Tribolium castaneum: one gene and its partners. The protein of the gene in region 3 purifies or fractionates together with the protein of the main gene of each other region. This does not show direct contact. Links are inferred from orthologs where the notes say so. Each region holds a gene or a part of one and is shown on either strand. Other genes may lie near its edges. The genes, in order: nuclear pore glycoprotein p62, Nup214 and mbo.

Region 1 (3,963 bases), on a different chromosome or scaffold from region 3:
AATTTTTCTGAAATATACTATACTGTTAATTGTAACTTTGATTTAGTAAAGGTAGTCCTTCATATTAACATTTTGAGGACATTTTCAGTTTAAGTGGTTGCTAAATATTTAAAATTACGCATTATATCATTTTCGTAAAAAATGGACTTACACTTCTTTAACTCGCAGGTACAGATTATCTATCGATAAACCGTTCAAGAAATCGGGCGTCAATCAATTAATACGTTATTTATCAAAAACTTTGGAATTTCAAAACGAGCAAAAGTATGAAATTACAAATTCTTTATTTTTTTAATCAAAAAGCTTTGTTGCAAGTTTACTCATATTTTTGTAGTTCCCAAAATGGATCACCACACTATCCCCAAAATCGGGTTTACGTCAACGCAGTGCAAACCCGGCACAGGTTTTCTGCCAACAATTAATACGAAAAAGGCCGTGACACTCGAACTGTGCCACGGAAACGACAAACAAGTCATATCACTGCCTGCGGATCGTCTGGATCAGAACAAGCGATACTACGTCACATTTACAGTCAAGGGGAATGAAGGAAGCCCCCCAGAGGAAGAAACAAAAAGCCACAGACATTCAAAAAGCGACTAAGTGCAATATCTTGTTAGATTTATTGTTTGATATGAGAAATTTGTACAAGGCGTTATTGTATAGAGGAAATTTTAATAAAAACGTTTTTCTTGTAAGTCTCATGTAACTGTGTAATCTGTTCCAAATGAGAGCAAATCTGAGACGAGTTTCTATCAATCCACTGGAGCGAATTCATGTGGGCATTTAGAATGCGACTGACTTGAATGACCTACAACATACACACATGATAGGATAGTGAGTCGAAACAAAAATGTGGCCAAGAGTGCTGTGAAGTAGGCAGAGCAGTCTTGACAACATTTGTTGACACAAACCGGATCAGTAATATCTTCATTTTTGTTAGACTCGTTCAAATGTTCCACAATTTCTTTCAAATCCTCGGACATTTGCTTCAATTGGGAGTCAATTATTTCAGACAATTGATACCTAAAACACCCACAGAATGTCGAATATTTTACTGTAATAAACAATTACGTTTGGAATCTATTCTGATCCGTGACTGGAATATCAGTTAATTGTTTCTCTAGAGGAAGACTCAACTCATCTAATTCATTATCTTGAGCTAATACGAAATCAAGCTCTTGGTCTAGTTGTTTCTGCTGCTGTTTCACACGCTCAATTGTTTCATTCAAGGCCAATATTTTATCAGTGTTTGAAACCAACAGGTTATCCCAAGCGTTCAGCTGTTTTGTTTGATTAATGAAGAATTTTCCTTGTTCTTCCAAGTCTATAGTCCATTTGTTGATACAGTCCTCTAGCTGAGCATAGGTTAAGGTACCAGAAGTTGGCAGACTTGCTGCTGTTGTGGTGGTCACAGCTGGCGCTCTTAAAAATTATACGAAACATATCAAAAGTGCTGTAAAAATTTCCCGGACGTATGTTCATAAACTCTTATATTTAATGAAATATCAAAACTACAATATAATACAAATCAGGAACCAGGTGGAGCATTGTCAACGCTGATTTTAAGTTTGTTAAAAAAAAAGATTTCAAATATTTTAATCAATATTTTACGCAAGATATGGTTCAAAATTTGATAAATTCGACATACAATAATAAAACGGTACGAATTAAACGCACAGTAAAAATAATAATGTCTAAGTATGCAACTCGCATATGCTCGTTGTATAACGACAGCCCTCGAACTTTAACCTAGTGTGTTCGCACTCGTATTATATGATCAAAATCGAATTTATTAATAATCTTTTTATTAGTACCCTTAATAAAATACTAGTCAAGACATACTTTAACTAAACTTTCACAGTACTCTTGATATATGTTATTATAAACTGTGACACGCATTTGCGCGGGTTAAAAGTATTTATAATTAGAGTACATACTGTGTAGTAGCTGTAAGCCCCCCTAGGCCTAAACCAGAGGCTGATGTTGTTGTTGTGCTTGAAGGGGTTAGGGTTGTGGTTAGTTTCAAAGGTGCGGAAGTTGCAGCGCTGCTTGCCAACGAAAAACCTAAATTTAAATCGTGTAAAGACTACAAAACCCTAATTTTTTTAAACCTGAAGATAGGGATGTCCCTGTGGACAAAATAGGAGTAAACGAAGTGGCAGCGGTGGTAGTGGTTGAAGCACTTGTCCCTAGACTGAACTGCGGCGTAGTCGTCGAAGTCGCAGCTAAAGTTGACTAATTATTACATAAATTTAACAAAAAAGGGTTACTAACGAGTTATTGTAAAGCTGGGAGTTGAGGTTGCGCTTGTTGTTGTTAAGCCGAAACTTACTGACGCTGTTGTTTTGGGGGTTGTACCCAGGAAAAACCCGGTACTGGTCGTAGGAGTACCGAATAGATTTGTTAGTGGTTTGTTAGGGGTTTGCTGTTTGGTATCGCCTGCACCGCCCGTAGCTGTGGTGGCTGTGTAATAAAAGGGTTAGTTGCGTTTTGGTTAGCAAAATGTCTTACGTACTGGCAATTGTGCTAGTGGTAGGTAATGTGAAACCTGTAGCCGTTTTAGGGGCACCGAAATTGAAAGACATTTTCAGAAAATTAGTTAGCTTCAAGTAGCTTCACAAAATTTATAGGTTAGCTTGACGTTAAATTTTAAAACGATGGTGGCGGCACTAGTGGCGATTGAGGGAAAGATGGATTTTTTAACCATGGCCTCATAAAATTTAGGAAGGAGGAAAATTAAGTTTCAAATTATAATCATAAGTGTCCGTTGGCGTTTCTAGTGTCATAAGCTTCCATATTCCACTTTTTTATAACAGAAGGTTTTATCTTTATTTTTGTTACCCGTAAGTAAAGTCAAAATTGTATAAAAAAAACAAAAAAAAAACAAAAAAAGTGGAGAGAATTAAATTTTCTCTAAAAAGATCCGAAAAGCCAAATTTTTATCTTTAATAATAAGTTTAAATTGTTTTAAAGTGCAAATTATTTTCCATCACTCAAACATTCAAACCATTAAAGATGATTCCGCAAACTTTTTTGTGAGAAATTTTAATCTTCTATAACTTTTTAATTTTTATATCTTAAACCCTATAGACCGCCTTTCAAAAAAATATAGGACGAAGGATAATTTAAATTTTTGTCATTACTATTTTAGTTGGTAGTTTTTCTCAGACTATTAAGAGATTAATATATTAAGATTATTAAGATGCTTACGAATCAAATTAAACAATTTGAAAAGGGGAAGATCTACAGTGTCTCAAATCGCTCTCATTTAAACTCCACCCTAAATTGGTGAGTTACAGTGGAACTCGGTTATAACGAACACTCAAGGGACTTCAGAATTTGTTTGTTATGTATTATACCCGATCGTTTGTTTTATCCGAACATCGTCGTTTATAGAATAGTTTTCAAGTCAACTGAATTCTAAACGTGAAACAGATACACGAAATAAAGTATTAATTTAATTTATTAGAAAAGCATATTTATCTACATTCATCTATGTTTAATAGTTATCTAACAATTCAATAATTTTTAGTTTCGTATCCTAAATTTAAAGATTTCTAATTACTTGGTCTGTTTATGTGCCTGCTGGAATGTCGCTGTAAGTGCATGTAAGTGCTGTAAGTGCATGTGCGTACGTTATAACTTATAACTTATAACCGAGTCCTAGACCACTTTTTTGTCTAAATTTCGAACGTTAAAAGTGAAGTTCATATATTCACTATAACCGAACTAATTTGTTATTGTAGTGTATTAAGTACTGTACCTATATAGAAAAGGCTGAGTGAGGTAGGGGGAAGCAAGTAGGAGAATGACGAACGGGCACTCTTGCTTGTCCCGTCGTGGTGTTAGGAGTGAATAAACAATTATTTGGGGAAAGTGGTATTTTATTTAAAAAATATTACAGTTATTATAATATAAATATAGGGCTTTAAAATATGAGTTTCCATTTCTTCGTTAAGTTGC
Region 2 (3,772 bases), on a different chromosome or scaffold from region 3:
CATCAGCCAACTTCAGTATGAACACGTCATAAATCGAACGAAAAATTTCACGAAAAAGAAAGTCCAAGATTTGCGGACTTTTCTCCAAAAAAGAGAATATCCACATATTTCATTCGTGAAGCCTCAATTGGCCAGTTCCGTAATCCAAACTCCGCCAAAACAACTTAGTCGGCTTCCCGAAAAAACTTCAGTTGCACCTCGGGTTCTCGATTTTGCGCAGTCAACTCCCAAACCCACTGTGCTCAAATTCGACTCCACGGCAACTCCAATCGAAGGTTTACAAAATTTAGCCCTTAAATTCGAGGCTAAAAATTTCACAAATTTGCCCGAGAAAACTTTCACGCCTTTGACTAAAAACGTGATTGCTGGGTCTCCAAATTCGGCTTTTGTCTCAACTTCGGTTTCTGCATCAGCAAATACTTACAAACCCACCTTCATGGCTGCAACTACAGCCGTGACAGCGTCTATTATTAAAACAAGTCCCAGTTTTGTGGCAGTGACTAGTACTGCAACCATGCAAGCACCTAAATCGTTTGTTAATTTGTCTTCCCAACCAGTTACTAGCAGTACCCCAAAGGTGGGGACAAACCTCTTTGCCACATCTTTGCCTAAAACTACATTTTCGTTCAGTTTACAAACTACTAGTGCGGCGCCCATTTTAACAAGTAGTGCAGCGACTACCAAACCCAGTACGTCTATTTCTGTTTTTAATCTATCCACGAGTGTTAGTACTACCGCGGAAAGTACGATTTTTACGAAAACTTCTACTCCGTCATTTGGTATTGCTACCACCACAGCACCAACCTCCACCCAGTTTTCGTTCGGTGGCGCTACTAATACTTCAAGTATTTTCGGTGCAGCAACACAAAAAGTGACCGAAGCTGCGACATCGAAAACCTTTACGTTTTCTACAAAGCCAGTAGTTACTTCTGCAACAAGTACTCCAAATGTGGTGGTTTCTGCCGTTTCCCCCGTTGCTAGCAGTACCCAACGTTCAATTTTCCCTACGACTTCTGTAACAACCAGTCCTAAAACAACGCAAGCTGTCTCGAGTCCAGTCTCAATCCAACCCACTTTTGGTGTAACAGCTCCAAATTCAGTTAGTACTACCAGTGGCACTCCATCAACTCAGTCCTCACCGTTTTCATTGGGGGCACTTAAATCATCTATTTTTCCCTCACCGGCTGTTCCTGCCGTAACTACAACACCGAAAATCGCCACCAGTGCGGCCACTGTTGTTACTACAGCTGTTACAACTACCGGTGTTACAGCTCCTGTTGTTACAACAGTCCCATCTTCAACTAGTATTTTCTCAACGCCAGCAACAACTCCATCAATTTTCGCTTCGCCAGCAACAACTTCAACAATTTTCTCTTCGCCAGCAACAACGTCATCAATTTTCTCTTCGCCAGCAACAACTTCATCAATTTTCTCTTCGCCAGCGACAACTTCATCAATTTTCGGCTCTATTGTTAGTAGTACTACTCAGTCTCCAACCATATCTTCAGCTCCGCCCACAACTGGGTTTTTCGGTGGTGCTCTTTCAACTAAACCACTCTTTGGTGGTACCGAAGTTAGCGCCTCGAAACCGTCAATATTTAGCAGCACAACTGCATCAAGTGTTTTTGGGGCTGTTGCAACCACGGATTCAAACGTTTCGAAACCATCCATCTTCGGAGCCCTGCCATCATCCTCCACTACAGCTTCTGTCTTTGGTACTGTTGCAAGTACCGATAGTAATGTATCAAAGCCGTCAATTTTTGGCAATGTTTCGTCAAGTACTTCACCAGCGACTGTTTTTGGCGCTACCACACCTACCACTCAGATTTTTGGTGGTGCTACCCCTTTGTCTACTAGTTCATTTGGGGCTGCAGCTACGACACAATCGTCAATTTTCGGCTCTCCCACTACCCCAGTTTTTGGAACTCCTGTTGGTACCACTCAGTCGACTTTTGCCAGTCCTACAACGACAACTCAATCTCAAGGGTTCGGTCTTTTTGGAGACGCCGCCCAAAAGCCTTCCCTATTTAATGCAAAACCAAATGCGACTCAACCGTCAATATTCGGAAGCACACAGCCGTCGATATTTGGTGGTACCACAACTTCTTCAACGTTCGGCCAAAGCCAGCCCTTCGATGGGAGCAAAAATACAAGCGCTTTTGGTCAAGGTTCTGTTTTTGGTTCGTCAGGTAGTACGAACGTTTTCGGGGGTTCAGCACCCGCTTTTGGCCAAACGGGTGGTTCCGTCTTTGGAAATGCACCAACTACGAGCTCTGGGAGCATTTTTGGGGCAACGACTACAAGCGGAGGTACTTTCGGTACTAGTGGATCTTTATTCGGAGCACCTGCGTCCACTGCCCCCTCACTTTTTGGGGCACCTGCATCTACGACTCCCTCTATTTTCGGTTCGTCGAATGTCTTCGCCCCTGCCACTACTCAGTCCGGTACTTTCGGCACCAATACCAGTTCCGGAACGTTCGGTTTCGGAAGTCTCAATGTTTCAACGACTGCAAGTTCGGGTTTCGGTGCACCTGCGAACCCCTTCGGGGGCGATAAGAGCGTTTTCGGAGCCTCTCCAGTGTCGTCAAGTGGCTCAGTTTTCGGTTCCAGTGGTGGATCGCTCTTCAGTAACACGTCCCAGAGTTTTGGTACCGGTTTCGGGAACCAATCTTCCTTCGGCCAACAGTCGTCCTTCTTCGGGGGTAGCAGTTTCGGTCAGCAACCTGCGGGGCCCTTCAGTGGTGGGAGTGGAACTGTGGGACAAACCGGGTTTGGGGCAGGTCAGAGCTTCCAAAAACCGGGATTTGGGGCAGCTCCCGTTTTCGGGGGATCGCCCAGTTTCGGGAGTTCGCCTAGTTTTGGAGGAGCGCCGGCGTTTGGCAGCCCACCGGCTTTTGGGAATACTTCAAAGGTGTTTGGGTCCTCAAGCCCCGGGTTTGGGGCAGCTGCTAGTACCCAGAACACAGCTTTTGGTAATTTAGCCAATCAACCAACAGTAGGGTTTGGGAATTTGGCACAGCAAGCTGCCAACGCCCCAGCGCAGAGTGCGCCGTTCTCTGGGTAAGAATTTTTAAACTGATAAATGGCATAGTACATTTTTTTTTGTAGGAGCTCCTCATTCTCCAGTTGGCGTTAATGAAGGAAAATGTTTTACGTTAAATTTTGTAAGCTGAAACTAATAAATTTTTTTAAAATTAATTTTATTTTTCACTTAAAACACATAATTATTTCTGAAAATGTGTACACTATTGTCGCACCCTCCAGAGACCAGATACTTGTTATTGGACCAATCTACAGCTAGGACTTGCCCTTGGTGTCCCTCTAAATTATAAAGTGGGGCTTTAGGGCTTCTGGAATCCCACAATTTGACACCAGAATCGTATCCTCCCGACATAAAAAGGTGTTCATCGTATTTTGACCATTCAATTGAACTGACCCATAGCGTATGTGAGGTGAAAGTAGTCTTGACCACTGAACCCTCTGAAGACCTTGGGTCGTACAACCGAATATGTCTATCAGCTGAACATGCTAATAATGTGTTAGATAGGGAAGACCAAGAAGAATCCAAAAATGCCTTCTGGCCAACTATTTCATTCTTGATACCACACAACTCAGCATCCCAAAATTTAATCGTATGGTCCATTGACACAGTGCAAATTACATGGTTGTCAATCCAGGAAGTCGAAGTTATGGTTTCTTTATGGCCTTTTAATGTGTGAATGGGGGTCCTGGTAATCAGATTTTTGTCTCCTCTTACTTTTTTGTGTGCAGG
Region 3 (4,130 bases):
TACCAAATAAAATCAGTTTTTGTGATTTTTTTCAAAAACTGTAAGAGATAGTTATAGGACCTATTTATAAAAGTGACCATAAATATCGATATATTTTCGATTGCCTTAAGAAAATAGGGTCGTTCCATTTGAAAAAACTGAGTTAGAGCAGTTTTTTGATAACCATTTTCAAAAAATCATACTAGCCATGAACTTTAAAAGTCAACAATTTTGAAAAATATAGAAAACTTTTCAAACCTTCGGTTATCGAATGCAAAAAAAAATAGTCACTTATCGCAAAGGGTTCAAGGACTATGATATCTTAGATAAACCATTTCAAAAAAAAAAAACAAAAAAATTGACATATGTCAAAAACTTAACAGATAAGTACCAACAACTAGGGTAAATTTTACTCAACTTGAAAAGGTGAATTCAAATATGCAATAAAATCTGTAGTTACTACTTAAAATTTCAAACTTGACGCCATTTTTTTGTAGTTTCGAAAGCTCAGTTATTTTGAAAATAATTTAGTTGAACTTAGACTGGTCGATTTGGGTCGTATACAAAATTTTAAAGCCCCAGCTATTCTAATGTAAGCCTTAAAGAATCACCCTGTATAGAAAAGTTGTTATGAGTTTTATGTGGAGAAATGAACACCCGTATTTCTGATACATCCTGTATATGCATTTTGCATATTTTCCGAGCTGTACTAGTGATACTTTTTTTTGTAACCCTCGTAATAAAATTGTGGATGAGCCGCCCGGCCCCCGCCGCCTATATTGAAAAATCCATCTCTTTGAGAAAGGGCGCCCCAATTTGGATGTTTAATATTTAAATAGGAGTTATCGAAGAATAGATATCGCCTCAAATGTTCGTTTATAATACATGGGGAAGTATTCAATTTGTATACGCGAGCGGATGGAACCTTACTCGATTCATAAATATGCGAAAATACCAATAAGGTGCCGTCTCCCCGCGCAAATTACCTCTTCAATAATACAAGAAAAAGCCCCCACACTTCGCGACACAATAATTTTATCAGAACTTTGCATAATTCCCGACAACTCTTAGAACAACAGAGCCCGTACACCAAAACCCAGACATATTTACCGTCCAAGATAAGGCTTCATTCATTATTAAACTTATTATCGTGCTTATTATTATGCTATTATCTTCGAACTCGCTTCCAACTCCGGCACAAAAACGTTCAAACTAGGCGCTATTTACGGCGGGCGGTTGGCACCACTGTGGCACGTGGTTCGCTCCAAACAAGCCCGTTGCCGGTAATCATGGATTCTACCGATTATTTAGGGCTAAGTAAAATCAAAATTTTAAAAAATGTGCGTGAAGCAGTGCCGGAAAAGTTAAAAAAGTCAATCAACTTGCTTGCGGTCAAATACGGCGTGCTTTTCACCTGGGATTTTGCCAACAATTGTGTCCTAACCTTAAATATTAAAGCTGCAAGAAGCAACGATGGGGATAATGTTACGCACCAAGTAAGTAAACATCGCTTACCTGCATGCTTTACCCGCATTTACCCTTTTTGCGTGATAAATCGGCGAAATCGACGAAAAAAAACTAGAAAACAGTAAACATAACCTCAAAATGTCACTGCTTTTTACCGGTTTTTTTTCGGTCAAAAAAGCGTTTTTCGTGGTGTTTTTCTCAAATCAAGGTAAATTTTTTGGTTAAGAGGGGTAATAATCTGTAATTATAATTACATCAAAGTGGCCTTGACTTTAATATCTTGTTTCTAATTTCGTCACAGCTCACTTTGATCAGAAATCAGGGTACGTGGTGTATTAGAAGGGGTAGAAATTAAATGTACAGTAAAAATAATAAATGAGGATTTGAGTTTTTAAGGTGTAGAAAAATTGCATTCTCCTTTTTTTATGTTACTGTGCTTTTTATTATAAACAAAAAATCTAGTTTTGTGGCTAAAAAAATGGGCCACAAAAAGGGTCTGTAAGGTATTTTGTTTAAAAATTGTTTCTCGAGTATAAGGGAAGATTTTTTTTTAATAAAATAAAACATAAAATTTTGTTTCTACAGTCGAAAACTAACGGGCTGCGGTTTTGGACAATGCCACTTTTTAAACTTGCACTTTTAGAGCCACAATTAGAGGAGATAAAAGTCTGAAACCTCTAATTTTTACATTTTTTTGCTGAATTGTTTTAATTTATTTGAATATTTTTTTTGCATAATAGATCAGGTGTTGCTATTGGTGGGACATTTAAATGATATTTAGCTCTTTGAGCTGTTTCTTAATAAATAAATAATTAATAAAAATTAATTGTTTGCACTTTTGGTTGGAATTGTTTGGAAGTATTTAAAATTTTTAAAATTGTTTTTGTAATTTATGGAATTTTTTTTTATTACTGTAATTTTTTTTGGATTTTCCTGCGTTTATTTAATTGTACACCATATTGATAACGCAGTTATTCAATTTTTTTGGAACTACAAAATTTAAGTTGGAATTTCGCGAATTTGGAATTTTGGTGGATTTTTTTGGAATTACTGGATTTTTGGGGAATTTTTTGGGATGTAAATAATTGTACATATTATTTTAAGTTAACAGTTTTTCGAGGATTTTTTTTATTTTTGAAATAGGAAAAAAGTGATACATTTATCACTTTTGCCTTTAAGTGACTTAATTTTTAAATATGGCGCAATATTTGATAATAGAATTAAAATATGAGAAACGTAGGGCCTGTTTACAGAAAGCGAAATTAAGATTTAACTTAGTATTAAAGTAATTAATTAAGTTGCTATTTAAAATGCATTAACAAATGTTAAGTTAATGTAGAATTAAAATTTTGATTGTAATTAAAATGTTCTGTAAACCGGCTCTTTAATGTCCCAACTCGATGTGATTTAAGCTTAATCACTTTTTCCGAGTTTTTTTTTTTCTGAAATGAAGGGTTCTGTGGTACAATAATCTTTAGTTATAATTAGTAATTAATTTTTGAAAAAAAAAACAGATTGGAGTTTTTAATATTTTTTTTAACAACGGGTATTATGTTACTGTGATTTTTTTTGTTGCTGTTGGTGGGACATTTAAATATGACATATGTAATAAAATGTGGTGGTATCATTACCCTCTTTTGGGTATCGAGGAAAGTATTTAAAATTACTAAAATTATTTTAGTAATTTATGGATTTTTTTGTTGGATTTATCCAAGATTATTTAAATGACTATAATGATACGCAGTTATTCGATTATTTTGGAATTACAAAAGCTAAACTGGAATTACACGAATTGATTTGAGATTTTGATGTATTTTTTGGGATTACTGGATATTTCGTGGATTTTTTTTGGAATTACATGTATCTATTATTTTACGTTAATGGTTTCTCGGGAAATATATTTTTATTTTTAAAAACCAAGTAATAAATTTATTTTTTTTTGTAAAATTTTGCAGCAGGTAAAAAATCACGGATTCAAAATATGTTTCTTGCGTAAATGTATTTTTTATAGGTGAAAAGTAATAAATTAATTGACTTTAATTGTCCTTTTAATTTTTAAATGAACAAAATCTGGAAAAATTTGTTTCCATTTCTTTAAAAAAATAATCATTTTTAAAGTTGTCGCCAAAGGTTGCTAAAATCCTGTTATTCATATTTTTTGGTGGCACTTTTTATTGTGGCTTTTCAGGCATTTAGTTGTTTCATAATATACTATAAAAATTTTAATTCGACTTGTTATTTTTTGTCCTTGTATCCTGAAGAAAATATAACAATGATCCTATCCTACAATACCTGCCTTCAACAAATCCTCAATAAAATTTTTAGTAATTTGATATTACCTGATTATTTAACAATTATTGTCACGGTGTTAGAACGTAAAAAATAGTTTTTTCTTTCTAAATTTTGGCTTCTATAAAAAATCACAGGTAAATAGTTATAAAAAATCGAAGTAAAATTATTATTACTTTGTGTATATTTTGGAGACTGGGTTTAAAAATGTGTTCCGTCCGTATAAAGCTTTTCCCGTCCATTTGTCCGCCATTAAAATTTTCCACGACAATAATATCATCGTCTTGTTGGTAGTTAAGCCCGTCCCTTTTCTGAAGTTGGTCTCATAAAATAAAGTCTCTCGGATAAGTATCTCAAAACTCATATAACTAATAATTATTTCCTGGTGTCTTGTC

What was found.
Region 1: the proteins of mbo (region 3) and nuclear pore glycoprotein p62 purify together in Homo sapiens (co-immunoprecipitation; 4 studies listed by BioGRID and IntAct, counting the BioPlex papers as one, with this or other methods). This does not show direct contact. The link is inferred for Tribolium castaneum from reciprocal best matches to the Homo sapiens genes NUP88 and NUP62.
Region 2: the proteins of mbo (region 3) and Nup214 purify together in Homo sapiens (affinity purification with mass spectrometry; 6 studies listed by BioGRID and IntAct, counting the BioPlex papers as one, with this or other methods). This does not show direct contact. The link is inferred for Tribolium castaneum from reciprocal best matches to the Homo sapiens genes NUP88 and NUP214.

Annotation. Positions count from the first base shown.
Region 1 is NC_087396.1:18,040,659-18,044,621, forward strand, and holds nuclear pore glycoprotein p62, read right to left. Parts: upstream 2,688-3,963; 5' UTR 2,586-2,687; coding exon 2,516-2,585; intron 2,464-2,515; coding exon 2,275-2,463; intron 2,226-2,274; coding exon 2,112-2,225; intron 2,065-2,111; coding exon 1,938-2,064; intron 1,423-1,937; coding exon 1,072-1,422; intron 1,024-1,071; coding exon 912-1,023; intron 809-911; coding exon 653-808; 3' UTR 601-652; downstream 1-600. Other genes in the region: ankyrin repeat domain-containing protein 12, read left to right, coding at 335-600. UniProt on the Homo sapiens protein: Essential component of the nuclear pore complex. The N-terminal is probably involved in nucleocytoplasmic transport.
Region 2 is NC_087398.1:6,201,262-6,205,033, reverse strand, and holds the end of Nup214 (nuclear pore complex protein Nup214), read left to right. Parts: coding exon 1-3,060; intron 3,061-3,108; coding exon 3,109-3,136; 3' UTR 3,137-3,198; downstream 3,199-3,772. Other genes in the region: ribosome biogenesis protein WDR12 homolog, read right to left, coding at 3,212-3,772. UniProt on the Homo sapiens protein: Part of the nuclear pore complex. Has a critical role in nucleocytoplasmic transport.
Region 3 is NC_087401.1:12,382,349-12,386,478, forward strand, and holds the start of mbo (nuclear pore complex protein Nup88), read left to right. Parts: upstream 1-1,205; 5' UTR 1,206-1,268; coding exon 1,269-1,475; intron 1,476-4,130. UniProt on the Homo sapiens protein: Component of nuclear pore complex.